Linked DNA regions of Lonchura striata. The protein of the gene in region 1 binds, or shares a complex with, the protein of each later gene. Links are inferred from orthologs where the notes say so. Each region holds a gene or a part of one and is shown in the gene's direction. Other genes may lie near its edges.

The links.
Region 2: SNRNP40 (region 1) and SNIP1 share a complex: the UniProt entries of both Homo sapiens proteins name them as parts of the minor spliceosome. The link is inferred for Lonchura striata from reciprocal best matches to the Homo sapiens genes SNRNP40 and SNIP1.
Region 3: SNRNP40 (region 1) and PRPF3 share a complex: the UniProt entries of both Homo sapiens proteins name them as parts of the U4/U6-U5 tri-snRNP complex. The link is inferred for Lonchura striata from reciprocal best matches to the Homo sapiens genes SNRNP40 and PRPF3.
Region 4: SNRNP40 (region 1) and RBMX2 share a complex: the UniProt entries of both Homo sapiens proteins name them as parts of the minor spliceosome. The link is inferred for Lonchura striata from reciprocal best matches to the Homo sapiens genes SNRNP40 and RBMX2.

What each region holds. Positions count from the first base shown.
Region 1 is NC_134628.1:6,738,780-6,746,418, forward strand, and holds the start of SNRNP40 (U5 small nuclear ribonucleoprotein 40 kDa protein), read left to right. Parts: upstream 1-4,629; 5' UTR 4,630-4,635; coding exon 4,636-4,851; intron 4,852-5,594; coding exon 5,595-5,724; intron 5,725-6,220; coding exon 6,221-6,314; intron 6,315-7,208; coding exon 7,209-7,374; intron 7,375-7,639. Other genes in the region: ZCCHC17 (zinc finger CCHC domain-containing protein 17), read right to left, coding at 186-286, 2,006-2,063, 4,051-4,092. UniProt on the Homo sapiens protein: Required for pre-mRNA splicing as component of the activated spliceosome. Component of the U5 small nuclear ribonucleoprotein (snRNP) complex and the U4/U6-U5 tri-snRNP complex, building blocks of the spliceosome.
Region 2 is NC_134628.1:4,688,614-4,695,660, reverse strand, and holds the start of SNIP1 (smad nuclear-interacting protein 1), read left to right. Parts: upstream 1-4,036; coding exon 4,037-4,176; intron 4,177-4,248; coding exon 4,249-4,351; intron 4,352-4,785; coding exon 4,786-5,354; intron 5,355-7,047. Other genes in the region: DNALI1 (axonemal dynein light intermediate polypeptide 1), read right to left, coding at 1,350-1,528, 3,398-3,567, 3,646-3,725, 3,814-3,894. UniProt on the Homo sapiens protein: Required for pre-mRNA splicing as component of the spliceosome. As a component of the minor spliceosome, involved in the splicing of U12-type introns in pre-mRNAs. Down-regulates NF-kappa-B signaling by competing with RELA for CREBBP/EP300 binding.
Region 3 is NC_134635.1:2,813,096-2,820,175, forward strand, and holds the start of PRPF3 (U4/U6 small nuclear ribonucleoprotein Prp3), read left to right. Parts: upstream 1-4,078; 5' UTR 4,079-4,187; intron 4,188-5,868; 5' UTR 5,869-5,879; coding exon 5,880-6,024; intron 6,025-7,080. Other genes in the region: CIART (circadian-associated transcriptional repressor), read left to right, coding at 142-446, 687-762, 845-923, 1,006-1,270; MRPS21 (small ribosomal subunit protein bS21m), read left to right, coding at 2,079-2,161, 3,759-3,939. UniProt on the Homo sapiens protein: Plays a role in pre-mRNA splicing as component of the U4/U6-U5 tri-snRNP complex that is involved in spliceosome assembly, and as component of the precatalytic spliceosome (spliceosome B complex).
Region 4 is NC_134616.1:15,333,054-15,339,652, forward strand, and holds RBMX2 (RNA-binding motif protein, X-linked 2), read left to right. Parts: upstream 1-3,891; 5' UTR 3,892-3,903; coding exon 3,904-3,908; intron 3,909-3,987; coding exon 3,988-4,103; intron 4,104-4,174; coding exon 4,175-4,226; intron 4,227-4,294; coding exon 4,295-4,424; intron 4,425-4,524; coding exon 4,525-4,705; intron 4,706-5,247; coding exon 5,248-5,654; 3' UTR 5,655-6,090; downstream 6,091-6,599. Other genes in the region: RAB33A (ras-related protein Rab-33A), read left to right, coding at 421-648, 3,117-3,575; SLC25A14 (brain mitochondrial carrier protein 1), read left to right, coding at 6,487-6,550. UniProt on the Homo sapiens protein: Involved in pre-mRNA splicing as component of the activated spliceosome. As a component of the minor spliceosome, involved in the splicing of U12-type introns in pre-mRNAs.

The sequences.
Region 1 (7,639 bases):
CGGGAACTTGCCTCTCTGTCTCTTGCTCTCTGGGGCCTGCTGGGAGCTGTGGCTGCAGCCCCAGCAGGGCCCTGCTCCCGCTCCCTTTGCAATGCCCCCGAGTGCCGAGCCCGGCTGCAGAGATCCCCCGCTCCCGGCAGGCTCCCAGAGCCCCGCAGCGGCGCCCTGCCCGGCACCGAGCTCACCTCTCTGCCGATCAGCTTCACCCACACCCTGTCCCCCACCGCCAGCATCTCCGCGGGGCTGTCCACGGGGCACGAGGACAGCTGGCTCCGGTGCACGAGGCCTGCGGGGACAGAGGGACGCGGGGACAGAGGGACACGGGGACAGAGGGACACGGGGATTAGGGGGGACATGGGGGGACAGGGGGGACAGGACATGGGGACGGGCATGGGGGGGCCAGAGAGGGACAGGAGGGACAGAGAGGGACAGAGGACAGGAAGAACGTTCACACCCGCCTTCCCGAAGGAATGGACCTTCCCATGCCATGTCGGAAGAATGTGGTGGGGCTCATAAATTAATGCATCAAATTGATAAATTTTCCGTAAATTAATTAATGAAATAATTAATAAAATAAAAGAAGAATTATAACATTATTAAAAATAATAAAATTAATAATAAATTGATGCAATAAAAATAAAATTATAACATAAATAGAATAATAAATAAATAAAAACAATAACATGTATACTAATTACTACATTAATAATAAATTAATACAATAAAATGACAGCATAAATAGAATTAATAATAAAATAATGGACTAAAAATTGAAGTATAACATTAATAAAATTAATCAAAAAATCAATAGAATAATATATTTAATAAAAAAATTATTAAAATATTAAATTCATTTTACTATAAAATATATGTTGTTATTTATTACTAATTGTGTTATTGATGTGATACTTTTATTCTATGAAATAATAAAATTAAACCACAGAATTAGTAATTGCATTAATAAACCAACAAAATAAAATAAAAACATTAATAAAATTAATAAATAATAAAATTAATCAACAAATTAAATGAATAAATAGAAGATAAATAAAATATAACAATTATTAGTGTTCAATTCATCCTCTACTCATCCTCTTATCAGTTTTACACAAACATTCCTGCACTAAACCTTGGATCTGCATTTCCAAAGTGCCTTGGAGCAGGTAATCCTTTGGGGTGTGGGAAGGATGTGGTTTTATTTATCAATAAATAGGATTTAAAAACTATTTGTTTTAAATCCTTTAAATTGAGTTTTATATTTATTTCAATTTCTATTCATTTATTTTTACTTTCTTTATTTTTATTTATTTAAAAATATGTTCCCTGCTACAATTTCTTCTGAAAACTTTATTAATTCCTTAGCTCATTTTTAATTTCTGTTTTTTGGTTATTGTTTTATACTGCAGCTACCACCAGTAAAGCTGCAGATGTTAATAAATTATATATTCTAATAAATATAGGAATATATCCTATATATATAATATATATACAGTAATAGATGTATCAAATATATATTACATATTATATATACAATAATATACATTATAATATTATATATTTGGTTATATATTTTATCTATAGTATATACAATTATATACCCTATAATATATATATTATATATGTATCTTTTATATTTTATATATAATAAAATATATTATAACCCATCTACTGTTATATATGTTATATATACCTTCTATATAACATATATAGTAAAATACAATACATATTGTTACTATACTTATTATTACTATTATTACTATTACTATTATTATTTAAGTTCCAGAATTTCCCCAAAACCCACCACAAAATATCCTTAAGTTACAAAAAAGTCCTTTGAGTCATTCTTGGTAATCATTCTACAGTCCATCATCTTCTAAATGCTTCCCAAATTTCTTCCTCATTTAGGAAAAAACTCCTTTTCTGATTTTTTTTCTGGAAGTTTTTAATTGTGAGGCGGCTGCTTGCCCTGGCCACAGCTCCATAAAACAGCTCCAGGGACACCAACCTTGTTTCCTGCAGCCAGGGATTCTGATAAAGGCCCCAAAATCCGTCACTGCAGCAACCTGGGGAGAAAATCAGAGCAGAGCTGCAGGAATCCCTTCCCAAAGGGGGAGAAATCACAGCAGAGCTGCAGGAATCCCTTCCCAAAGGGGGAGAAATCACAGCAGAGCTGCAGGAATCCCTTCCCAAAGAGGGGAGAAATCACAGCAGAGCTGCAGGAATCCCTTCCCAAAGGGGGAGAAATCACAGCAGAGCTGCAGGAATCCCCTCCCAAAGAGGGAAAAATCACAGCAGAGCTGCAGGAATCAATTCCCAAAGAGGGGAGAAATCATAACAGAGCTGCAGGAATCCCTTCCCAAAGGGGGAGAAATCACAGCAGAGCTGCAGGAATCAATTCCCAAAGAGGGGAGAAATCATAACAGAGCTGCAGGAATCAATTCCCAAAGAGGGGAGAAATCACAGCAGAGCTGCAGGAATCCCTTCCCAAAGAGGGAAAAATCACAGCAGAGCTGCAGGAATCCCTTCCCAAAGGGGGAGAAATCACAGCAGAGCTGCAGGAATCCCTTCCCAAAGGGGGAGAAATCACAGCAGAGCTGCAGGAATCCCCTCCCACACAGAGGAGAGTGCCCAGCTCCACGTGTGGAGATGGGCACAGAATCAGCCATGGCTGGGCAGGAGGGACATTAAATCCCACCCAGTGCCACCCCCACTGTCCCAGGTGCTCCAGCCCCAGTGTCCAGCCTGGCCTTGGGCACTGCCAGGGATCCAGGGGCAGCCACAGCTGCTCTGGGAATTCCAGCCCAGCCTCCCAGGGAACAATTCCCAATTCCCAAAATCCCATCCATCCCTGTCATGGTAACAGGCCCCTGGCTGGGCGATAATTAGCATTGATTCCATGATTCAAGAAGGTTGATCAATATCTATCTTTTTTAAGAAACCCCCCCACTTTTATAGACAGTTACAATACAGCTAGACTTAATTGCTCCTCTAATCAAACCACTATCACTACTGGCTAATTAAGAAACCACCCCTTGGTAAATAAATCCCCATAACACATTCTACATGTTCACAACACCAGGTGCAGCAAGTGAAGATAAGAATTGTTTCTCTGCTCTTCTCACAGCCTTGCCCAGCACAATGCCTGGGAATGCCGTGTTTCCCTCTGTGGGCACAGAGCTGCTGCCACACACAGCCCTGCCCTCTGGCAGTGGCACCAGGAAGAGCCCAAACCTTTCCACAAGCCCTGCCAGGCTACAAACCCCCCCTGCATTTTCCAGTGGGGAACAGCACTGGGTGCACCTGGAACCATCCAGGAAATCATTATTTCCTTTCCTTTATCCCTCTGGTGCAATGATTTTTGGTCCTGGTTCTCATCCTTGATTTAGGAATCTGAATCCCAGAGTGGTTTGGGTGGGAGGGAATCTCATCCCAGCCCAGGGACCCCTCCCACTGTCCCAGGTGCTCCCAGTGTCCAGCCTGGCCTTGGGCACTGCCAGGGATCCAGGGGCAGCCACAGCTGCTCTGGGAATTCCAGCCCAGCCCCTCCCACCCTGCCAGGGAACAATTCCCAATTCCCAATCTCCCACCCAGCCCTGCCCTCTGGCAGTGGGAGCCATTCCCTGGCTCCTGTCCCTCCATCCTTGTCCCCAGTCCCTCTCCAGCTCTCCTGGAGCCCCTCCAGGCCCTGCAGGGGCTCTGAGCTCTCCCTGGAGCTTCTCCTCTCCAGGGAGCACCCCCAGCTCTCCAGCCTGGCTCCAGAGGGGCTCCAGCCCTGCAGCAGCTCCGTGGATCCCTCTGGGCTCTCTCCAGCAGCTCCAGGTGCTGCTCCTGTTGGAATTCCGAGCTCTGAGGGTGGGGAACCCAGTGACAGAAGAGGTCGGAACTGCCTCTCCTCGGCTGCCCCCGCAGCTGCACATGAACAGCCCCCGGACACAGGTTGTGCACCTGGACAGAGCTGTGCATCCCCAGAGCTCCCCCGCGCTATCCCGACCGAACCCACGGAATGAATTCCCCCCGAGCTTGGCCCGGGCCGCGCCAGCCGTGCCGCACCTCGCCCTGGAAGATGGAGTAGAGCTCGGGAAGCGGCTCCATCGCCTCCCGAGGCGCCGTGACAGCCAGCTGGATTCACCCTCGCTACCGCATCTCCTCTGCAGGATGCTGAGGAAAGAAAAATTTCATTAACGCCCGAAAAGCCCCAGAGAGCACCCGGGGTTCAGCGCCTTGAGGGGCGCGGGGATTGGACCCGCAGTGCTGCGGTGAAGGACTGACCTGGACCGGCGCAGAGGGACAGGACGGCTCCTCCCGGAGCCCGCGGGGCGGTGGGGGCTCGTCAGCACCCGCGGCAGCAACACCAGCGCGCCGCCATCACCCCCTCACGCTGAGGGGCCACGCTCCTCGCCAATCACAGCGCGCAATGTTGCCGTGGGATGGTCCCGCAGCCAATCAGCGTTACCCATACCACCCAGCGACCGCTTTCCTCCAATCAGAGCGAAGCGCGCCAGAAGGCGCCGCGCTCCCCGCTCCATCCTCGGCGCAGCGTCGGGGGGTGGGACCTGCCCGGCGCTCCGCCAATCAGCGCGGCGGCCGCGGCAGCGACAGCCAATGGGGCGCGGGGGGCGGGGCGCGGCGGCCGCCATGATCGAGCAGCAGAAGCGGAAGGCGCCGGGCCCCGCGCCCGGGCCCGGTCCTGCCGCCCCCCCGGGCCCCACCGGCCCCGCCGCCGCCCCCGCGCCCGGCCCCGACCTCCCGCTCGTCCCCGCGCCCGCCAAGCGGCCCCGCCATGACCTGCCCGGGGCGCCGGGCACGGGCGGCGCGGGGGGACAGCCCGCGGCCGGAGCTCTGCTGCAGGCGGTAACGGGGGAACGTGAGGGGAGGGTGGGAGGAGATCGGGGTGGGACGGGAGGTGAGGGGACAGGAGAGGCCAGGCGTGGTTCCAGGAGCAGGGAAGGGCCACGAGCGTGGTGGGCTGGACACTGCTGAGGCACCTGTGTTAGGTTCTAGGCCCTCGGCTGGGGCCTGTCCGCGGAACGGAGCTGGGAAGGGAACTGAGCCCCAGGAGAGGCTGAGGGGGCTGGGAAGGGGCTGGAGAATCCCTGAGGGAGCTGGGAAGGGGCTCAGCCTGGAGAAAAGGAGGCTCAGGGGGACCTTGTGGCTCTGCACAGCTCCTGACAGGAGGGGACAGCCGGGGGGTCGGGCTCTGCTCCAGGAACAGGGACAGGAGGAGAGGGAACGGCCTCAGGCTGGGCCAGGGCAGGCTCAGGGTGGCAGCAGCAGGAATTTCCCCATGGAAAGGGTGACCCCCCCCTTTCCATGGGGAAATTCCTGCTGCTGCCCACCCTTGGCCTTGGAACTGCCCAGGGAGGTTTGGAGTGCCATCCCTGGAGGTGTCCAAGGAACGTCCTGGATGTGGCACTCAGAGCTCTGGGCTGGGGATAAGCTGGGGACCAGGTTGCCTCAATGACCTTGGAGCTCTTTTCCAGCCTCAGTAATGCTGGAATTCTGGTGGGATGTGCTGTGGGAAGGTGAAGATGCTCGGCAGGGGTGGCAGGCTGGCCTTGCCCCTTGTCCCCTCACGGTGTCTCGGTGTCCCCCAGGGCCCCCCGCGCTGTTCCTCGCTGCAGGCCCCCATCATGCTGCTGTCAGGACACGAGGGGGAGGTTTACTGCTGCAAGTTCCATCCCAATGGCAACACCCTGGCCTCAGCTGGCTTCGACAGGCTCATCTGTGAGTGGCACTGCTGTCCCCTGCTGTCCCCCGGGCTCAGGCCCTGTTGCTGGGGGGTTTTAGCTCAGCCCTCACCTGGCTGGGTTCTGGGTGTGAATTGCTCCCCCATGGGGGTGCAGGAAGCTTTTCCCAGCTGCTCTGGCAGGTGCCATCCTGATGGTGCTGGAAAAGTGCCTTGCTGGGTGCCAGCTGTGACCGCCCTGTGTCCCTGGCACACGGCTTCCAGAGGTCTGCAGAAATGCAGTTTTAATGCTTAGGCTTCCTGAGGCAAAAATTATAATTGTTCATAATAAACTCACCTTAACCAAGCTCCCTAAAGCTGCTCTGCCCTGGGGCTCACACGATGCTTTGTCACTGCTGTGAGTTGTCCCAGCTGGGACTCAGCAGTGGGGCTGGTCCATCCCCACTTTGCTGAATCCCCAAAGATCAGCTCCATGCACAGCAGGGGCTGTTCCCGAGCCTTTCCTGTGCTCACCTGTCCCTTGCTGTCCCCCAGTGCTCTGGAACGTCTACGGGGACTGTGACAACTTTGCCACCCTGAAGGGACACAGCGGGGCTGTCATGGAGCTGCACTACAACACGGATGGCAGGTGAGGGCAGGGGCTCTGTGCTGCTCAGGGACTCACTGCAGCTCAGGGAACAGGGCTGGAGCCCCAGGAGAGGCTGAGGGAGCTGAGAAGGGGCTGGAGCCCCAGGAGGGGCTGAGGGGGCTGGGAAGGGGCTGGAGAATCCCTGAGGGAGCTGGGAAGGGGCTCAGCCTGGAGAAGAGGAGGCTCAGGGGACCTTGTGGCTCTGCACAGCTCCTGCCAGGAGGGGACAGCCGGGGGGTCGGGCTCTGCTCCAGGAACAGGGACAGGAGGAGAGGGAACGGCCTCAGGCTGGGCCAGGGCAGGCTCAGGGTGGCAGCAGCAGGAATTTCCCCATGGAAAGGGGCTCAGGCCTTGGAACTGCCCAGGGGGTTTGGAGTGCCCATCCCTGAGGCGGCAGTCAGAGCTCTGGACTGGGGACAAGGTGGGGACCAGGCACAGCTTGGATTTTATGTTCTTGGAGCTCTTTTCCAACCTAAATGATTCTGGGGTTGTCACCTGTGCTCAGTCCATGGACACCAAGTCCTTGTAGTGTGGGCAAAGGATCTGGGGGCACCTGTGACCCCCCCCAGTGCCATTGATGCAGTTTTGGGGCACAGAGGGAAGTTTGTGTTGGGTGCCCGGGAGTCACTGGGGAGGGAGACAGAGCAAGTGAGATACTGGTTAATTTAAAAGGCTGTTCCACCATTGCTGCTGAGCTTTGCTGAGCTGTGCTCATCCTAGATGCTGCTTGAGGAGGCAGCAAAACCATTCACAGCAGGGATTAAGGGGAGTTTATCCATGCAGCTGTTCCAGTGTCAGTCAGTGTTTCAGGCGCCTCCAAAACACCAACAGGGGAGGTTGTTCCTGAAAGGAACTGGGAAGGGAGCTGGGCCCTCACAGTGGTTGTTCCTGCAGCATGCTCTTCTCAGCATCCACGGACAAAACCGTGGCTGTGTGGGACAGCGAGACGGGCGAGAGGGTCAAGAGGCTCAAGGGCCACACGTCCTTTGTCAACTCCTGCTACCCTGCCCGGAGGGGCCCCCAGCTCGTCTGCACGGGCAGCGACGATGGCACTGTCAAGGTCAGTGTGTGCCCTGGGCAAAGCCTAGGGAAAAAAGGTGGAGAAGCTTTTAGGATCTTCCCCTTTATCTGGGCTGATTTCAGCCTTTTGGTACTCGTTTCGTTAGCGCTCTGAGTTCAGAGGCAAAAATGTGACAGCAAATTTCACTGCTCTGTTTTTTCTGTGTTTCTCAGGGGGTTTGGGAAGCTTGAGCTGCTCAGCTGGGATTTTTCTGCTGCTGTGGCTCTGCACAGCTCCTGCCAGGAGGGGACAGCCAGGGGGTCAG
Region 2 (7,047 bases), about 2.1 Mb from region 1:
TAACAGATTTCAGTAAAACAATTGTATTATATTAATTGGGATACCAAGACTAATTAAACTCTACTTTTGCATTGTTTTCAACAGTAAAAGACAAATTCAGTATCATAGTTCATACATGGTGAGCAGAGTCAGTGGACTATGTTTTTAATGTAATTATTTAGAATCTGTTGTAGAACGAGAAGCTGTAAAGATTTCAAGAGCACAAATTCCCTGAACACTATCAAAGAAGGATCTTCCCATAAAATAACCCACCACAACAGAAACTTGACATTAAGCACTGTAAGGCAAACAGGAAGGTGTCAAGATGGAAGGTGGAGGTTTGGAATTAGCATAGGGGACAAAAACTCTACTGTGCAGACTATGGGAAAAGAAACAACTGCTTACACTCTGTGTAGCCTCTACACCCTTTTCTCCAAGTGGTCTTTACAACCTTTTCTCCAATTCCCTCACCCTTTTCTCCAAGTGGTCTTTGCATCCTATTCTTCAAGTCCCTCACCCTTTTCTCCAAATGGCCTTTCCACCCTTTTCCCCCAGTCTTTCCCCCTTTTCTCCAGGTGGCCTTTCCCCCAGCCCCTCACCCTTTTTCTCCAGGTGGCCTTTCCCTCCTTTCCCCGTCCCTCCCCCTTTTCTCCAGGTGGCCTTTCCACCCTTTCTGCCAGCCCCTCACCCTTTTCTCCAGGTGGTCGTTACATTCTTTTCTCCAACTCCCTCACCCTTTTTTCCAAGTGGTCTTTACACCCTTTTCACCAAGTCCCTAATCCTGTTCTCGCAGTGGCCTTTCCACCCTTTTCTCCAAATGGCCTTTACATCCTTTTATCCAGGTCCCTCACCCTGTTCTCCAAGTGGCCTTTCCACCCTTTTCCCCCAGTCCCTCACCCTTTCCCCCAGTCCCTCCCCCTTTTCTCCAGGTGGCCTTTCCACCCTTTCCCCCCTGTCCCTCCCCCTGTTCTCCAGGTGGCCTTTCCACCCTTTCCGCCAGCCCCTCACCCTTTTCTCCAGGTGGTCTTTACATTCTTTTCTCCAAATCCTTCACCCTTTTTTCCAAGTGGTCTTTACATCCTTTTCTCCAACTCCCTCACCCTTTTCTCCAAGTGGTCTTTACACCCTTTTCACCAAGTCCCTTGTCTTTTCTGCAAGTTGGCCTTTACACCCTTTTCTGCAAGTCCCTCATCCTGTTCTTCCAGTGGCCTTTCCACCCTTTTCTCCAAGTCCCTCATCCTGTTCTTCCAGTGGCCTTTCCACCCTTTTCCCCCAGTCCCTCACCCTTTTCCCCCAGTCCCTCACCCTTTCCCCCTGTCCCTCCCCCTTTTCTCCAGGTGGCCTTTCCACCCTTTCCCCACTCCCCTCACCCTTTTCTCCAGGTGGGCCTTGCCCTGCTCGGCCAGCAGCGCCTTGCGCACGCCGAAGGCCACGCTGCTCTCGTAGAGCGCCTGGTACGCGGCGAGCGTCAGGCGCAGCTCGTCCCGCACGCGCAGCAGCAGCAGCCCCCGCTCGGCGCAGCTCACCGTGGTCTGCCGGATCAGCTCGTCTGCAAGGGAGCAACACAGGCTGCAGTGCCCTTCTCTGGGACATGGCTGCTCCTCTCACCTCTCACAGACAGAGCACGGCTTTCCCAGGCAGCGTTCTGGGAAAGGCAGTGACAGGCTCAGAGAAAAGAATGAGGAACAGTTCTTATCTTGCTGCACCGGGTGGTGTGAATATGTGGGATGTGTTATGGGGGTTTGTTTACCAAAGGGTGGTTGTGGGAATCCAGGGCTTCCCTCTGGCTGCCCTGGCAGGTCTGGGACCCTGGCAGGGGTCAGGAACCCCCCTGGACAGAGCCCCCAGAGACACTGGCTGTGATCTCTGCCCATGGAAAAGAGTTTTCAATCTTACAGGATGAACTACCAGCTCTGAGTGTTTGATATAAGTAATAATTAAATGTAGCACAGGTACAGAAGTAAAATTTTAGAATTTTAGATTAGGGGTTCAAAGGGGACAAGATGGAGGAAATTGGGCGTGTCTTGTCCTTCTTCTTCATGCCCTCCATGTCTCACTGTGGTGTTGGCATTTTTCTATTGGTTTAGGCTGGAAACACACTATTCAATGTAAATAATAGATATTAGCACATTATTGTAAATACAGCACACATAGTTTCTGGTATTTAATGTTTGTAACATCCCACTGAGGGCAGAGCCCCACATGCTGCCCTGCAGGACAGAGCTCTGCAGCAGGGAAGCAGAACATAAGCAAAAATAAACAACCTTAAAAACCAGCACAGACAAATTATAGCTACTTCTTTAACAACAAGGCAAAAAAACAGAGACTCTTTACAATTTCAGAATCGTCAATACCACAAATTCCAACAGGTGTTACTTAATTAGCATCAACTTCATGGTGATGGTGTTTTAAGTAAAAGACCAATTAAGTCCACCAGTAGCAAACTAGGGTATAAAAAGGCAATGGGTTTCTTTATAAAGTAAATTATCAGCCTTCTATAAAATGCATGGAGTTCATGTCACTACTTACCCAGCTGGGGACCTGTTGCAGTGACACTCCACCACTCACTGTGCCACACAACTGGAATCACACACTGAATCACAGAGCTGCCAGGTTGGAACAGACCTTCGAGATCATCAAGCCCTACAACCTCACCAAGTGCCACATACAATCTTTTTTTAAACACACGAGGGATGGTGACTCCACCACCTCCCTGGGCAAACCACTCCAGCACTTTATCACCCTTTCTATAAAAAACTTTTTCCTAATACCCAACCTGTATTTCCCTTGGTGCAGCTTAAGCTTCCCTATTTCATGGCGGTGTAAAACAGGGCTTTGGAAGGGTAAATGTGGCCCTGAAGGGTCAGTGGGGTCCTGAGATGTAAATGGGGTCCTGGAAGAGTAAAGAGGGTTGTCAGAGAATAAATGGGGTTCTGGAAGGGTAAATGGGGCCCTGAGGGGAAAATTAAGTCCTGGAAATGATGCTTTAAGTTTTAGCTTTTGTATAGAAGGGTAAAGAGGGTTCTGAGGGAATAGAGAAGGTCCTAGGGAGGTAAATGCAGGCCTTTGGGGTAAATGGGCCCACATTTAGGACATGGAATGTCCTAGAGACAGTAACAATTGATTTGTTTAGTTCCATTGCAGCTGTAGCATTGAGTGCAGCAGGTAAAAGCAGAGCAGTGGTGCAGCTCTTCGGGCAATGCCAATGATGCTATCCCCTAAAGCTGCAACAGCAAGCACTCAAAAACGTGTAATGGACTTGTTGCAGTCATGGGGGAGCCCTCAGAGGTTCCTGTGTCATCAGTGTGTGACACACACACACGGCTCCAGGTTACTTTAAACAAACTTGGCTGAAGCGCAGCCAGGAGGACACCCGAGAGGATTGAGAGCTGTTTCCAGGTGCAGGCTGCGCACTGACCGAAGCACTGCGTGTAGAGCTCCCTGCGCACGGGGCACAGCCCGGTCTCCCGCGCCTGCCGCTGCTGCAGCTGCCGGTCCAGCTGCTCCTGCAGCTGCAGCACGTCCCGGCGGGTGCTGGGCGCGGTGGACACCTCCTGCACCCACAGCTTCTGCGCCTCCTCCCACTCCCTGCCAGAGAAGCAGCGGCCGTTACCGGGGCCGCCGGGCGCCCCGCGGCCCCGCCGGCCCCGGCCCGGCCCCGCTCACCGCGGCGGCAGGATGGCGTTCAGGAGCTCCTGCGGCTGCTGCGCGGAGGAGAGGCCGGCGGGGCCGCGCGGGGCCTGGCTCTGCGGGAACACGAGAGGGCAGCGCCGTGAGGGCGGCCGGGGCGCCGCGGCACCCTCGGCCCCCCGCGAGCCCCCCGCTGGCGCTCACCGCCGCGGAGGCCCGGTCTCCCCGGCGGGACACCAGCACGGGCGGGCAGTACCGCAGCAGCGACTCGGGCGGCGCCGCCATGGCGGCCGCGGGCCCGTCACCATGGCGGCCGCGGGCCCGTCACCATGGCGACCGCGCCGCCCGCCCCGCGCAGGCGCGGCCCCGCCCCGCGGGCGGAAGCGCTGCGGGCGGAAGCGGCGGCACTTCCGTGCGGGCGGGCGCCATGGAGGCGGCGGAGGAGCGGCGGAGAGAGCGGCGGCGGCGCCGGGAGGCGGCGGTGGTGAAGGCCGAGCGGCGAAGCCCCCGGCGCAGTGCGTCGCCGCCGGGCGAGGAGCGGCGGGGCCCGGCAGGGCGCGGCAGCAGGTAGGGAGGCCCAGCCGCTCGGCCCCGCGCTCGGCCCGGCCCCGCCGCTCAACCCCTCCCGTTGTTCCCCAGGTCGCCCCGGCGGAGGAGCAGGTCCGGGAGGAGGAGCCGCTCCCCGCGAGGCAGGAGGAGCCGCAGCCACAGCCCGCACCACGGCGCCGTGAGGGTAAAGCAGGTGAGTGGGGAGACTCGGCCGCGGCGGGTGCGGTAGGCGCCTCTTCATGTGTCAATTCCGACTGGGCCCTACATCGTGTCCCATGAGCAGAGAGAGGATCTGGGCCAGTCGGAGCTCCTGCTGCCCAGCTCAGGCTGTGCCACCCGTGGCTGTAGCTGCTCTCGGAGCCGTGCCCGTGGAGCTCCCATGGGAGCCCTGCTCCTGCCACAGCACAGGCACCCCTGGGAGCTGTGTCCTCTCCCCAGAGCAGGCTACACTCGCTGTTTCTGGTGCTTTATTCAGTGCCAGTTGTGGGAACCCAAGTAGGCTGGCAAGGAACTCTGTTCCACGTCGTGTCAGGGCTGCACGGTACATCCCAGTGTGTGTTTTCCCAGCGCGTGGCGCTGGGATTTTCCGAAAGGCTGAGCTGCTGCTCTCTGTGATCCTCCCTTCAGGAGCGAGACGATCACTGTCGCAGGGGCACCGAGGAGCGGAAGCAGAGGCACCCGGCGGAGCAGGAGCACCGGCGGGAGCGGGACAGGAGCGGGGAGCGGCACAAGGAGCACGCAGACAGGAGGAAGAACCCCGGTGAGAGGCCGGGAGCGCGCGGCCACGAGCGGGAGGCGCAGAGCCTGCGGGAGCAGCAGGCGGAGAGGGAGCTGCACAACGAGAGGCGGCGGGAGCAGCGGCAGAGCAGCGAGCAGAACGCAGAGCCCTGGCAAGCAGAGAGCAAACCCAAAGAAAAACCCGCTGCCAACAAGGAGAAGCCAAGCTTCGAGCTGTCGGGGGCGCTGCTGGAGGACACCAACACCTTCCGGGGCGTGGTGATCAAGTACAGCGAGCCCCCCGAGGCGCGCATCCCCAAGACGCGCTGGCGCCTGTACCCCTTCAAGAACGACGAGTTCCTGCCCGTGATGTACATCCACAGGCAGAGCGCCTACCTGCTGGGCCGGCACCGCCGCATCGCCGACATCCCCATCGACCACCCTTCCTGCTCCAAGCAGCACGCCGTCTTCCAGTACCGGTGAGAGCCTGGCAGGGCTTCCAAACGGGTTCCAGGTGGTTTTTGAATTGATAATGCAGTTTGTGGAGGTTTTTTTACCTAAGTAAGAAAAGTGAGTTTAGTTTGCATTTTTACAGTGTGTTAAAAGGTTACAAGAGTCTTAGGTTAAAAATGTTACCGTCTTCTAGTACCTCAGATGAGTTCTGAAGGGATTTGAGGTGGTTTTTGAATTGGTTTTGATAATGCAGTTTGTGGGGTTTTTTTTACATAAGTGGTAAAAGTGAGTTTAGTTCACGTTTTTTTATGGTATGGGTTAAAAAGTTAGAAGAGTCTTAGGTTAAAAGGGTTGCAAAGTTACAAGAGTCCTAGGTTAAAAATGTTACCATCTTCCAGTACCTGTGAGAGCCTGGCAGGAGTTCTGAACAGGTTTCAGGAATTTTTGAGTTGGTAATGCAGTTTATGGGGTTTTTTTTACGTAAGTAAGAAAAGTGAGCTTTGTTTGCGTTTTTACAGTATGGGTTAAAAAGTTACAGTACTTAGGTTAAAAGGGTTAAAAAGTTACAAGACTTAGGTTAAAGAGGTTACTGTCTTCCAGTACCAGTGACAGCCTGCGACAACTTCCGAACAGGTTCGAGGTGATTTTTCAGGTGATTTTGATAATGCAGTTGGTGGGGTTTTTTTTTACCTAAATAAGAAAAGTGAGTTCAGTTCACGTTTTTTACAGTATGCGTTAAAAAGTTACAAGACTTAGGTTAAAAAGGTTAAAAAGTTATGAGAGTCTTAGGTTAAAAGGATTAAAAAGTTATGAGAGTCTTAGGTTAAAAATGTTACCGTCTTCCAGTACCTGTGAGAGCCTGGCAGGAGTTCTGAATGGGTTTGAGGTGGTTTTTGAATTGATAATGCAGTTTGTGGGTTTTTTTACCTAAGTAAGAAAAGTGAGTTTAGTTTGTGTTTTTACAGTATGGGTTAAAAAGTTACAAGAGTCTTAGGTTAAAAAGGGTTCTGTCTTCCAGTACCTGTGAAAGCCTGGGAGGAGTTCTGAAGGGGTTTGAGATGGTTTTTGAGTTGGTTTTCATAATGCAGTTTGTGAGGTCTTTTTTAATGTAAGTAAGAAAAGTGAGTTTAGTTCATGTAAGAGCTCCCTGCATTTCAAATTCCAGCAAGGGAGGAAAGCAGCACACAAAGCAAGTGCCTTGGAATGGGTGGCTGGGAGGGGACAGTTTGCTGTTGGCACATGTCAAGTGGAATTTATGCTGCAGGTCATCCCAGCAGTGGCCAAATATATCTGAAATTCAGCTAGCAGCAAGCAGAGAAATCACACAGGGGGTTAGACACAGTGTGGGGTGTGAATCCAGGCTGGAGTCACCCAGCAGCTGTGATTGACTGGGAGCATTCACAGGAAACAGAAAACAGGGCTTTTTACCCCAACTCTGTGGGATGGGAACTGTTTCTTAATCCCAGAGAAGCACCCTGGGCATGGAGCCATCAGCTCCTGGGTGCTGCTGCCAGCACTAACAGCTTTAGCATCAGTCCCACGGATGTGAGAGCATTTCAAGGTTTGTGAGAGCATTTCAAGGAGATGTTGGTTTGTTTGCTCGCTGTGATGCACAGGAGTGTGGGTCTCAGATTCAGTCAAAGAAAGAAACTGAGAGTTTCTAGCTGGGCAGAAGCCTGGGAAAGAGCTGGACAAGAATGTAAATAATTCTTTGTCTCT
Region 3 (7,080 bases), on another chromosome or scaffold:
AGATGCCAAATGTGCCCCCCCGGGGCATGTGAGGCAGCTCCGGGGCTGTGGGGATGACATCCCCACGGGAGAACGAGGCAGTTCGTTGTCTTCCATTTTTGTCCGATATCCCCCCCGGTGTTTCCCTCCCTCCTCCCCCAGACAGCCTCGGCTGTTTGACCCTGCTGGAGCTGAACGCAGGGAGAGGCTCCCCTGCGGGGGCCACCCCCGCCATGGAGCCCCCCGCCCGCACCTGCTCCTGCGGCTCCCCTGCCTCCGACAGCGAGGCCGAGGCCGGCAGCTCCCCCCGGAGCCCCCCCAGACCCGAGCGCAGCCGCAAGCGCCCGGCGGGGCTGGACCGAGCACCCCCCGAATCGCCGCCCTCACCCCGCGGGGGGAAGCGCCCGCGGAAAGGAGAAGGGGGGGATGTCCCTCCCAGCGATGGCGATCGCCTCTTTGCCCAAAAGGTGAGTTTTTTGGCAGAAAACGAAGGGGCACCCCCAAAGATGGGAGGTGAGGGAGGGCTTGGTGTCCCCTCAAAAAACCCCTGGGTCTGCCTCAGTTTCCCCACTGAAACGGGCGGGTGGGGATGAGCAGGATTCGGGGGGTGAGAGGGAGGTAAGTGGGGTGTGAGGGGGTGCACCAGACCCCCTCTCCAGTCTGGGTGCAGCCCAGTCACCTCCTCCTCTTCCTCCTCTTCCTCGCAGTGCCGGGAGCTCCGGGGCTTCATCCGGCCGCTGGCCGAGCTGCTGGAGGGGCTGCGGCGGGGCCGGTATGACAGAGGTGGGTGCCCCCCACACCCTCCTCCTCCTCAAAGCATCCCTTTCCCTCTGGGGAAAATTCACCCAATTTCGGGACTCCCCAGGGCTGAGCAGCTTCCAGCAGAGCGTGGCCATGGACCGGCTCCAGCGGATCATTGGGGTCCTGCAGAAGCCAGAAATGGGGTGAGGGTCCCCAGCTATCCCCGGGGGGGGCGGGCACGGGGACACCTCCTCCGCAGAGGGTGACAGAGCTCTCTCCCCGCAGTGCCCGCTACCTGGGGACGCTGCTGCAGGTGGAGGCGATGCTGCGCCTCTGGTTCCCCCACGTCGCCCCCAAACCCACGCTGGACTCGACCCCCTCCACGGCTCCCCCGCGCCGCCGGCCCCCCGCCGGTCCCCCCGGGGCTCCCCGGTGCCGCCGCCTGCCCGGGGACCTCCCCCTCGCCAGCCCCGCGGGGACATTACAGCAGCGGGGGTCCCCCCGGTGCCAAGCCGGGACCCCCGAGTCGCCCCCAGCGCCGGACGTGTGACGCCCCCCCCGGCTCGGGGGGGGGGAAGATCTCGTCTGCATTTCTTGGTTTTGCCTTTTTTGATTTTTTTTTTTTTTTTTTTTTACGGGTGGTCAGTGAGACCCGCGGGCGGGCGGGACTGACCGGGGGAGGGGTCCCGACCCCCCTCCCCACCCCAGAAGCCCCAACCGCGGGGCGGCCGCGTGCCTTGGCCGGAGCGGAGCCCCGTCCCCGCGGGGACCGGGCTCTCCCGGGCTGGTGCCTTCCCCCCGAGCGGTGGGTGCGGAGCCCCGAGCGGGGCGGGCGCTGCTGGAGCAATAAACGCCGCGGGAGCGGCCGGGGCCAGCCGCTGTCGTGTCCTCTGTGCCTGGGCAGGGCGGGGGGTGCGCTCCCGTCCCGGCGGGCTCACAGCCGCCCCCGGTGCCCCGCTGTCCCCCGGCCCGGCTGCGGGCGGGACAGCCCCGGGAGCGGCACGGGTTCCGCCGGTACCGGGGCTCTCCCCGCCGGAAGTCCCGGCGGTAGCGGAAGTCCCTCCCGACGGAAGCTCCTCCATCAGTCACGGGGCTGCGGAGCTTCACCGGGGTCAGCTGGGGAGAGCAGCGGCACCGGGACCCGACCGGGGCACGGCACCGTTCGCGGGGCGGCGGGTCCCTTGGGGCTCTGCGGGGGGAACCGAGCCCTCCGTGTCCCCGGGAGAGGGCGGGAGGGACCGGCCCCTCTCCGTACCCGGGGTTCCCTGCCGTGTCCCGGGGCGGGGGGAGGAGGGACGGGCTCCTGCGGGCGCCGGGGCTGCCCGGTCCCAGCCGCTCCGTCCCGCAGCAGCGCGGCCATGGCGAACCACCTGCGCTTCGTGGGCCGCACGGTGATGGTGCAGAACGGAAACGTGGAGGCGGCGTACGGCGTCCTGAACAGGTGAGGATCGGGGGGAACGGCGGGGTTTGGGCCCCGAGGGGCTCCGATTCCTTCCCGTGCTGGGTTCAGAGCCAGAATTTCTGGAGCAGAAGGTGACGGGAGGGTGGTGCGGGGCTTTTCCCATGAGCTCCACGTCCCACCGCCCCCTCGGATGGGCTGTAAGCAGCGTGAAATCGAGGAAGAGCTGAGCGCTGCTTCTCGGGGAGCTCTGCGCTCACACACCTTCGTTGGAGCCGCCTTAAACGGAGCTCGGGGGGTTCCTTCCCCTCCTCGCGGGTGGACGGCGAGGAGACCGAGCCGAGGGTCCGCACCGGGACCGAGCCGTGCACAGGGTCCGCACGGAGACCGAGCCGAGCCAGGGTCCGCACGGGGACCGAGGGTCCGCACCGAGACCGAGGGTCCGCACCGGGACCGAGCCGTGCACAGGGTCCGCACCGGGACCGAGGGTCCGCACGGGGACCGAGCCGGGCCCAGGGTCCACACCGGGACCGAGCCGTGCACAGGGTCCGCACGGAGACCGAGCCGTGCACAGGGTCCGCACGGAGACCGAGGGTCCGCACCGGGACCGAGGGTCCGCACGGACCGAGCCGTGCACAGGGTCCGCACCGGGACCGAGGGTCCGCACGGAGACCGAGCCGTGCACAGGGTCCGCACGGAGACCGAGGGTCCGCACCGGGACCGAGGGTCTGCACGGACCGAGCCGTGCACAGGGTCCGCACCGGGACCGAGGGTCCGCACGGGGACCGAGCCGTGCACAGGGTCCGCACCGGGACCGAGGGTCCGCACGGGGACCGAGCCGGGCCCAGGGTCCACACCGGGACCGAGCCGTGCACAGGGTCCGCACCGGGACCGAGCCGTGCACAGGGTCCGCACCGGGACCGAGGGTCCGCACGGGGACCGAGCCGGGCCCAGGGTCCACACCGGGACCGAGCCGTGCACAGGGTCCGCACCGGGACCGAGCCGTGCACAGGGTCCGCACGGAGACCGAGCCGAGCCAGGGTCCGCACGGGGACCGAGGGTCCGCACGGGGACCGAGCCGGGCCCAGGGTCCACACCGGGACTGAGCCGAGCCCAGAGTCCACACCGGGACCGAGCCGAGCCCAGGGTCCACACCGGGACCGAGCCGTGCACAGGGTCCGCATGGGGACCGAGCCGAACCCAGGGTCCGCACCGGGACCGAGCCGAACCCAGGGTCCGCACCGGGACCGAGGGTCCGCACGGACCGAGCCGTGCACAGGGTCCGCACGGGGACTGAGCCGAGCCCAGGGTCCACACCGGGACCGAGCCGTGCACAGGGTCCGCATGGGGACCGAGGGTCCGCACGGGGACCGAGCCGTGCACAGGGTCCGCACCGGGACCGAGGGTCCGCACGGGGACCGAGCCGTGCACAGGGTCCGCACCGGGACCGAGGGTCCGCACGGACCGAGTCGTGCACAGGGTCCGCACGGGGACCGAGCCGAGCCCAGGGTCCGCACGGGCCGAGCCGTGCACAGGGTCCGCACGGGGACCGAGGGTCCGCACGAACCGAGCCGTGCCCGTTCCTCTCTGCTCGGCAGAGCCTTCCCCGCCGCTGTCACGGCTCTCTCCCCTCCCGCAGGATCCTGGCGCAGGACGGCGTGGCCGAGGCGGTGCGGCGCTCCCGCTACTACGAGAAGCCGAGCCGGGCGCGGCGGCGGCGGGCGTTCGAGGCGTGCCGGCGGGTGTACTGCGCCGAGATGGCGCGCAGGATCGCCTTCCTGGCGCGGAGCGCCCGCCAGGACCCGTGGCCGGGCTGCTGAGGAGCGGCCGGCCCCAATAAAGAGCCTTGGTTCCCGTTAATTGAGTTTGGTTAATGACGGTCTGAGGGGGCGGGGGCGGGGCTGAGCGTGGCCACGCCCCTTGCCGGGTTCGCGCGCGCCCCGGCCCCGCCCTCCCGCGCGCTCCGCCGCGCAGGCGCCGCGCGGCCGTTTCCGCTTCCTCCCCGACGCGCCGTCACCGTCAGGGGCCGCCGGGCCGGGCCCGGGACCGGCGTGAGGGAACGGGGCCGGTGAGGAACACTGCGGCTCCCCGGAGGGCATGGAGGCAACGGGGAAAGCGGGCGGGCTACCGAGAGGGAGGCAGGCGGTGGCGGAGGTGGCCCCGGGCCCGGCCCGCGCGGAGCCGCTCGCCCGGCGCGCCGCGCTGAGGGGGCCGGGCCGGGCCCCGGGCGGAGCTCCGCGGCAGCGGGGCACGCCGGGCCCTGCGGGGCTGCGCGGGAGCGGGGTCGGCAGGAGCCGCGTGTCTGCGGTGGGACCGAGCTCCGTCCGTCCGTCCGTGTGAGGCCGGAGCGGGCGGCGGAGCCCCGGCGCGGTCGGGCGGTGCTCGGACTCGTTCATTGATCCTGATGCGGGTTCCGGGAGCTGCATCCCCACGAGCTGCTCCCCGCGGTGGCTCTGCCCGCCCGGTGTGGCACGGAAACAGCCGGGGAGCCGCTGCCTCCCCTCAGCTCCTGCTGGAGCTCAGGTCGGGGGAAGCTGGACCGCCTCTAATTACACGAGTTTTGTGGTTTATTATGGGTGTGCTCAGAGCTGTCGATGTGTCGGGGCCGTAATTTGTTAGTTCTGCTTGTCCTTAGCCTGTGCAGGCTCAGAAGTCGTGGGGAAATGCCAGAATCCGGGTTTGGGCTCTATTTGAACCTGTCTCTAAGGAAGCTGCCAGGAAAAGTAGAGCCTGAGGAGGTTCCCAGGCTCTGGAGGGAAACCAGAGCCGTGTCCTCTGTGGAGGACTGCTTGGTAGGACAGTGCAGATTCCCCAGCTCCTGGGGCCCTGCAGGAAGCAGCAGTCACCTCCTGGAACTGCTCATGGACCTGAAATCAGGGGATCTGTGTTAGGGATGACCCCAGGGCCCCATTCCCAGCTCCAGGAAGGGTAACTGAACACCATTCCCAGTTCCAGGAGGGATAAATGAACACCATTCCCAGCTCCAGGAAGGATAACTGAACCCCAGGACCCCATTGAACCCCAGGGCCCCATTCCCAGCTCCAGGAGGGATAACTGAACACCATTCCCAGCTCCAGGAGGGATAACTGAACACCATTCCCAGCTCCAGGAAGCACAGCTGTGCCAGGTGTCTGTTCCCACAGCCCCACCTGGGTGCCGTGGTGGGGCTCAGCCCTAAGGAGATTTTGCCAGATCCGATTAGGGCCCGGAGCCAGTTAAAAGCAGTTGCAGCTGCAGCCCAGGCTGTGAGTGCTGCAGGATGTGAGGGGCTGTGACTGCCAGGGAGCTGCCCAGATCTGGGGCTGCACGCTGGGGAAGAGGCTCAGATTGTTTTGTGTCCCTGGCGTGGGCTCAGTGGGAGCAGGGGGGTTCTGTCCCACGCGTTCCACTCGCAGTGCATCTCTCTTCCCAACCCCTGGAGCATCCCATGGAGGGATTTGGGGAGCTCAGAGGCTTTGTCACCGGGCTGGCAGCACAGAGAGACATGGGGAGCTCAGGGAGGAGCCAGGGTGGGAAGGGTTATCCTGAGAACACGCATTGCTGTCTGGTTTTGGAAGCACTCTGGTGTGTCCCTCTAGGATCCACAGCAGGTCCTGCGTCCCCTGTGTGGGGTCAGGACCTCCCTCCTCACGGGGTTTGCCTCGTTTTAGCCCGCAGGGGAGCCCACGAGAGCTTTTCCCAGCCGTGGAGCTGATCCTGAGGGTGAGGACACCCCAGGCCCGTGTTTGACGCGCTGTGTCTCCTCGCAGCCCGAGCAGAGATGTCGCTGTCCAAGCGCGAGCTGGACGAGCTGAAGCCATGGATCGAGAAGACGGTGAAGCGTGTGCTGGGCTTCTCGGAGCCCACCGTGGTCACCGCCGCGCTCAACTGCGTGGGCAAGGGCATGGACAAGAAGAAAGCGGCCGGTACGTGCGCAGCCGGGTCTGTAAAACAGCCCAAAACCTCGCCAGGGTGGAGGGGCAGGGGCACAGGGCAGTTCTCTCAGCCTCCACGAGGTGAGTAGGGGGAAATCCCTCAGACCAGACTCAACTGGAGGCCTTGGGATGTGTTAAAAGATCTGATGAGGAAAAATTAATTCCTTATTTGAGGAACTGTAAAAGGTAATTTTTTAGTGTGCTTTAGAAAGCGGCTGGTACGTCCGCAGCCAGGTTTGTAAAACAGCCCAAAACCTCGCCAGGGTGGAGGGGCAGGGGCACAGGGCAGTTCTCTCAGCCTCCACGAGGTGAGTAGGGGGAAATCCCTCAGCCCAGACTCAGCTGGAGGCCTTGGGATGTGTTAAAAGATCTGATGAGGAAAAATTAATTCCTTATTCGAGGAACTGTAAAAGGTAATTTTTTAGTGTGCTTTAGAAAGCGGCTGGTACGTCTGCAGCCAGGTTTGTAAAACAGCCCAAAACCTCACCAGGGTGGAGGTGCAGGGGCACAGGGCAGTTCTCTCAGCCTCCACGAGGTGAGTAGGGGGAAATCCCTCAGACCAGACTCAACTGGAGGCCTTGGGATGTGTTAAAAGATCTGATGAGGAAAAATTAATTCCTTATTCGAGGAACTGTAAAAGGTAATTTTTTAGTGTGCTTTAGAAAGCGGCTGGTACGTGCGCAGCCAGGTTTGTAAAACAGCCCAAAACCTCACCAGGGTGGAGGTGCAGGGGCACAGGGCAGTTCTCTCAGCCTCCACGAGGTGAGTAGGGGGAAATCCCTCAGCCCAGACTCAGCTGGAGGCCTTGGGATGTGTTAAAAGATCTGATGAGGAAAAATTAATTCCTTATTTGAGGAACTGTAAAAGGTAATTTTTTGGTGTGCTTTTTTTGCCCGTTACAGCCTTGCTTTGCTTCTGCATGGACTGGACCCCCTTAATCCCTTAGTTTAAAGCTCCTGACAGCACAATACACAGATCCCAGAGGCTTCCAGGCCTCCCTGTGCTTGTAGACTTGAATCACTTAAACTGAAGTGGTTTTTACATCTT
Region 4 (6,599 bases), on another chromosome or scaffold:
CGGTGCGTGGGGCGGTACCGTGTGGCGCCGGTCCCGGTACGTGGGACTGCACCGGTGCCGCTCCGCGGGGCGGGACCGTGCGGTGCCGTAGCCGGTGTGCGGGGCGGGGCTGTGCCGGTGCCGCTACGCGGGGCGGGACCGTGCGGTGCCGTAGCCGGTGTGCGGGGCGGGGCTGTGCCGGTGCCGCTACGCGGGGCTGCGCCGGTGCCGGTGCGTGGGGTGGAGCCGTGTTGTGCCGGTGCCGGTCCGCGGGGCGGGGCTGTGCCGGTGCCGGGGTGTGGGGCGGAGACGAGCGGTGCCGCTGTCCGGAGCTGTGCCGGTGCCGGTCGGCGGGGCGGACCCGGTGCCGTGCGGTGCCGCAGCCGGTCGGCGGGGCGACGCGCCCCGATGAGCCGGTGAGGCGGCAGCGGTGCGGGAGGGATGGCGGCGGGCGGCGGCGGCGGAGCGCGGCCGCCGGGCCCCGACCCCGCGCTGGAGCCCTACGTGCAGACCCGCATCTTCAAAATCATCGTGATCGGAGACTCCAACGTGGGCAAGACGTGCCTGACCTTCCGCTTCTGCGGGGGCACCTTCCCCGGCAAGACCGAGGCCACCATCGGCGTGGACTTCCGCGAGAAGACGGTGGAGATCGAGGGGGAGCGCATCAAGGTGGGCCCCGCACCGGCTCCAGGCCGGCCGACACCGGCTAAGCCCCCGCTGGGTCCCACACCGTGCGCTGGCCCCCGGCGGGGCTCGCTCGCCCTCTCTGGGTTCCACACCGGTTCCAGTGGGCCCCGCTCTGTCCCCGGTGGGCCCCGCACCGGCCCCGATCTGGCCGGCAGCAGCCCCAGCAGCGATGGCAGCCGGTCCCCATCCCTGCCTCTTGCCAAACCCCTCCTGGGGGCTTTTCCTTACAGCCCAGCTGGAGAGAGGGAACAGGGCCAGGGAAGAATTCTCATCCCTATGTTGCAGAGATGGCCCTGGACCAGTCCCTGCTGCCTTGTCACTATTTCTGGGGTTGGCTTGAGCATGCAGAGATCAGAAGTGATGGCTCGGGGTGAGTCACCGCCACCCTTGCGATGGGCACAGCTGGATCCTCGCAGCATTGGGGTGGCTCCAGCTCCCAACACTGGACCAGCGGAGGGGTAGAGCTGCGGTGGGATGGGGGACAGGACTCTGGGGGGCAGAGAGTGATGGGCTGGCAGCAGCCACACTGGAAGGCGGAGAGCTCACATGGGCCAGCGGCAGCGGGCTCAGTGGTGGCAGCAGCAGTGCAGGAACCTGCTCCCAGCTGCACCTGGAGCTGCGATTGCAGCAGGATGAATTTTCTTAGGAAGGCTGTGTGACACCTGTAAAGAATGATCAGCCCAGACCTGAAGAGCTCTGGCTGGTGTGTCAGAGCAATCTGCCACTGGTAGGAAACCCCTGGGAGCAGAGTCTGTGGTGGAGCTTGGCCTGCCCAGCTGTGGGGATCAGACTGGTGCTGGAAGAACAAACATCACTGCTGTACTGACAGATGGCTGATTGAAAGTTGAACTCACAATGAAACCCAATCTTGTGTTGGTGGGTGAGAGCTTTAGCTGTGCTTCTAGGCTGTCCATGAATGTTTTTCCCGCTCTCCTTTAGAGATGGTCATTCTCCCTGCCCTCCCTGGCTCTGTGCAGCCCCACGGAGCTGTGCTGGTGTGAGCTGTGGTGCAGGCTGGCATGGAGCCTGTGTGCTGCCACTAGCTGGAAAATGTTGCCAGGTTTTCTACCTTTGGATATTATTTGAGCTCCAGTGGGCAGGAGTGGGAGGCAGTGCAGCAAACTGGCCATTTCCTGGGATATGTATCCTAGAGAGGAGGTGAGAGGTGGACAAGGATCCTCCTTCTCTTGCTCTGCCTGGGAGAGACTGGCTCTGAAAGGGCTGAGCAGCAGCTCTGCTTTGCCAGCGTTTTTCAATTGGAAAGACTCCAAGGCAGGTACTGTCTCCATGGGTAGGGCAATTTGGATTAACTTGGAAATTGCCACTTCCAGGCTACAAAACATTACCAGGAGAACCCAGACTGACCCCCGGGGCACTCTGCTGGTTACCAGTGTTCAGCCAGACTTGGTGTCACTGGCCAGCACCGTCTAGGAGCAGATGACATTCAGCCAGTTCCCTCACTGTCTGCTCATCCAGCCCAGAGGCCTCCTTGCATCTCTGTCACCTGGGTCAGGAAGTTGTCATCGATGGTGTCCTGGAATGTTCTGGATTGCCTGTGCTCTGCTGTGCTGTCCTTCCATGAGATATTGGGGTGGCTGAAGTTCTTTGTGAGAACCAGGGGCTGCAAACACAAGGCTGCTGCTCACTGTCCACAGAGCATCTCATCTGCTTGCTCTTCCTGGCCAGGTGGTCTATAGCCAAGACCCCCTACAATGTCATCTGTGATGTTTCGTTCTTTAATCCTCCCCCATGAGCTCTGTTGGCTCCTCACCCATTCCCACAGAGCTCCTGGCCCTCCCACTGTACTCCTACACAAAGGGTGGCTCCCCCTCCTCATTTTTTCTTTTCCTCTGTGAAATCATCAGCATTCTCATTCATGGCGTAGGATTTGGTGCACAAATAGACATGGATCTGTTGGAATGAGTCCAGAGGAGGATGCAAAGATGCTCTGAGGACTGCAGCTCCTCTGAAGTCAGGCTGGGAGAGCAGGGTTTATTCAGCCTGGAGAAGAGAAGCCTCAGGGGAGACCTTAGACATGCTTCCAGTGCCTGAAAGGGCTCCAAGAGAGCCACAGAGGGACTTGGGACAAGGAATGGAGGACAGGATAATGACCTTAAACTGAGGGAGGGCAGGTTTAGATTGGATATTAGGAAGAAATTCTTGGCTGTGAGGATGGGGAGGTCCTGGCACAGGTTGCCCAGAGCAGCTGTGGCTGCCCCTGGATCCCTGGAAGTGCCCAAGTCCAGGTTGGAGAGGGCTTGGAGCAACCTGGGACAGTGGAAGGTGTCCCTGCCCATGGCAGGGGTTGGACTGTATCATCTTTAAGTTCCTTTCCAGTCCAAACCATGCCCAGAGAGCAGGAAGCCCTCCTGCAACCCCCTCCCCATAGCCTTGCCAGGGCCAGGCTCCACACTCCTGTAGCGTCTTTCCTTGTCTGCTTCGCTTCCCAGGTGCAAGTGTGGGACACAGCTGGCCAGGAGAGGTTTCGGAAGAGCATGGTGGAGCACTACTACCGCAATGTGCATGCCGTGGTCTTCGTGTACGACGTGACCAAGATGAGCTCCTTCACCAACCTCAAGACGTGGATCGAGGAGTGCAACGGGCACGCGGTGCCCCCGCTCGTCCCCAGGGTGCTCGTGGGGAACAAGTGTGACTTGAAAGACCTGATCCAGGTGCCATCCAGCCTGGCCCTCAAGTTCGCCGACGCTCACAACATGCTTTTGTTTGAGACCTCGGCCAAGGACCCACAGGAAAGCCAGAACGTGGACGCGATTTTCATGTGCTTGGTGTGCCGGCTGAAGGCGCAGCGCTCGCTGCCCTGCCGGGACACGGAGGGCTGGCCGGCGCAGCCCCAGCCGCAGCCCCGGCGGCTGGAGGAGGCCAGCGGGAAAGGCTCCTGCCCGTGCTGAGCGGGACCCGCCCGGACCCCAATAAAGGCTCTGAGCCCCCTGCGCCCCGACTCTTGCTTTGCCTTACCGCCTGCGATCGGCTCGGCTCGGCCGCGATCGGCTCGGCTCGGCGAGTAGCGCTCGGCTACAATCGGCCCGATTCGGCTACAATCGGCCCTGTTCGGCCGCGCTCGGGCTATCTCGGTTATTATTGCCCTGACTCGGTTACAATCGGCCCGACTCGGCCACACTCGGCTACAATCGGCCCGACTCGGCCACACTCGGCTACGTCCGCCTCGGCTCGGGGCGGGGCGGGCGTTGCGCAGGCGCAGTGCGCGCTGCCGCCGCCATGAAGTAGGTGTGAGGGGTGTGGGGGAAGGCCGGGCTCGGCTCTGTCCCGCCGGTGCCGGTGCTGATGGTGCCTCGCCCGCAGCCCCCTGACGAAGGTGAAGCTGATCAATGAGCTGAACGCGCGGGAGGCGGAGCTGGGCGTGCAGGAGGCGGTGTCGTGGCACGCGGAGTACAAGGACAGCGCTTGGATCTTTGTGGGTAGGGAGCGGGCCGGGGCCGGGACGGGAGCGGTGCCGGTGAGCCGTTCCTTCCCTCCCCTGTCCCCGCAGGCGGGCTGCACTACGCGCTGACGGAGGGCGATGTCATCTGCGTGTTCTCGCAGTAAGTGCCGCGGCCCCGGCCCCGCCGCCGCGGGCGCTGCCGCGGCGCTGACGGTGCGTGTGCCACAGGTACGGCGAGGTCGTCAACATCAACCTCGTGCGGGACAAGAAGACCGGGAAGTCCAAGGGCTTCTGCTTCCTGTGCTATGAGGACCAGAGAAGCACCATCCTGGCTGTGGATAACTTCAATGGGATCAAGGTGAGTGGGGCTCAGGTGCTGCCGTGGCTCCCCGAGTGCTCCCTCGGCTCGGCAGCGGCCCTGGGAGCTGGGAGCTGGCGGTGACAGCCCGGCCCCGCAGATCAAGGGACGGACCATCCGCGTGGACCATGTGGCCAACTACCGGCCCCCCAAGGAGTCTGAGGACTGGGATGATGTGACTAGAGCCCTCGATGCCAAGGGCTGTGGGGTGAAAACGCCACCTCACACCTCGTCCGACTCCCCGTCTGAGGATGAGGAGGTGCCCGTGAAAAAGCAGAAAGGTGAGGAGTGTTGCTGGCAGGTTGGATCCCAGGTGGGCGTGCCCATGGTAGGGTTTGGGGGCTGGAGTCTGCGTGGAGGGACGCTTGGAGGAACAAAAATGGGCACAAAATGAGGGTGGAAATAAGTTGTTGTGACAGAGTGCTGAGGAGATGCTCAAAAATGAGGGAGAAGAAGGAGAGCCATGAGGCCATGAGGCAGTCCTCAGGTCTGGAGAGATACTTTCCACAAAGTGGATCACAGTGTTACTGAGGAAAAGGAAGTTGGAAGTTCTCAGCATTCCTGGTGGTGTGGAAATGCCCAGCTTTGCTGGGAAGAACATGATGTGTATGTTCAAGAGAGAAGTGGGGTGGCTGCAGCTGGAGGAGAAAAAGTTGTGCTTAGAAGTGGACTGGGATCTCCCTGAGGTGGGAAGCAGGCTGGGAAATTAGGTGGAGGGGGAGAATTTGTAGTGGAAGAGGAGTTGGGATGGTGGCAGGGGAGCCATGGGGAGCAAGGTGCTCCTGGAGTTTTGTCAATCCCGAAATGTGAACCCTAATTCCAGAGAAGCAGCGGAGCAGAGCAGAACGATCAAAGTCGAGCCCACAGGCTGGGAAGCGGGTGAGCACGGAGGAGCCCCATCCCAGGATCAAGATCAAGAAGGAGAAGGAGGACCCCGGGTACGAGCGCTATGCTGGCGGGAGCACCGACAGGAGCTCCGGGAGCAGGACGCAGCGCGATGAGGAGCAGCGGCGGCACCAGCGGCACTCGGACAGCAGGGGGGACAAGAACTGCCGCGAGCAGAGGGGCCAGAGCAGCTCCTGGGAGGAGCGGGAGAGGAGGGAGGAGGCTGGCAGGAGGGGCGACGGGCACAGCAGCCGGCAAGACACGTCCCCCAGGGGAGACAGATCTCGGGAGCGCCATTCCAGGCACAGGGAGCGGGGCTCTGGCAGAGACTCCGGCCGCTGCTGAGCCCTCGGTGAGCATTGGGGTGAGGGAGGCTCCGAGCCTGCCTAAACCTGCTCCAAGCTCCTGGGATGCTGCGGCTGGACCTTTCACCTGGGAGCTGCTCCTTGCCTCTCATCCCACCTTGGGCCATGGCTCTCCATGCGTCCCGTGCTGCTGGCTGGGACAGTGGGTTGTCCCATGACCAAGGAGGGTGTCAAGCAGTGAAGGCTGGGAGCAGCAGCAGGATAATCCCCTTCCCTAAATCCCTTGGGGTGGTGTCTCCCTCTTGCTCTGGGGGCGGAGGCTGCTGCTGGGTGTCTTGTCTGGCCTCCTGGGCCAGGTTTGGGCCCAGTGTCATCTGGGATTCCATGATGTATCCACAGGGATACACTGCTGTGCTGGGGTGATTTATCATGGATTTGTTTAAAGGTTTCTTAATAAAAGTTGCTGTTAGGGCGAAGCTGGTTCCGGGAGCAGTGTTCCTGTCTGTGGCCAGGGAAGAGGTGTCATCTGTTTTTCTTAGCTGATTTTGGTCTTATTTGGCTGGAAAGCCGGGAGCGCTGGAGTGCGGGATTCGCAGGGCGGAGAAGGGAGGGGCTTTAGCTGGGTTTGGTTCGTGTAACGAGTAATGCCTCCGGTCCGGTCCGTGCCGGTTCTAGGCGCAAGGGGGAATTTCCGCCCCGGAGCCCCGGGACCGCTCCCAGAGGGAGGCGGGGGGCGCGCCGGGGCTGGGGTGGAGCGGCCCCGCGGCTTCCCGGGCGCGGTGCCGGCAGGGGGCGGGCGCGGCGCGGCGGAGCCCGGTTCCGGTTCCGGTTCCGGTCCCGGCCCGGTGGCGGCGGTGTCCGCCCGCCATGCGATGTCCGCGCTCAACTGGAAACCCTTCGTGTATGGCGGGCTCGCCTCCATCGTGGCCGAGTTCGGTGAGGCGCAGGGGCCGGGCGGGGCGGGGCCGGGCGGGGCCGGTACGTG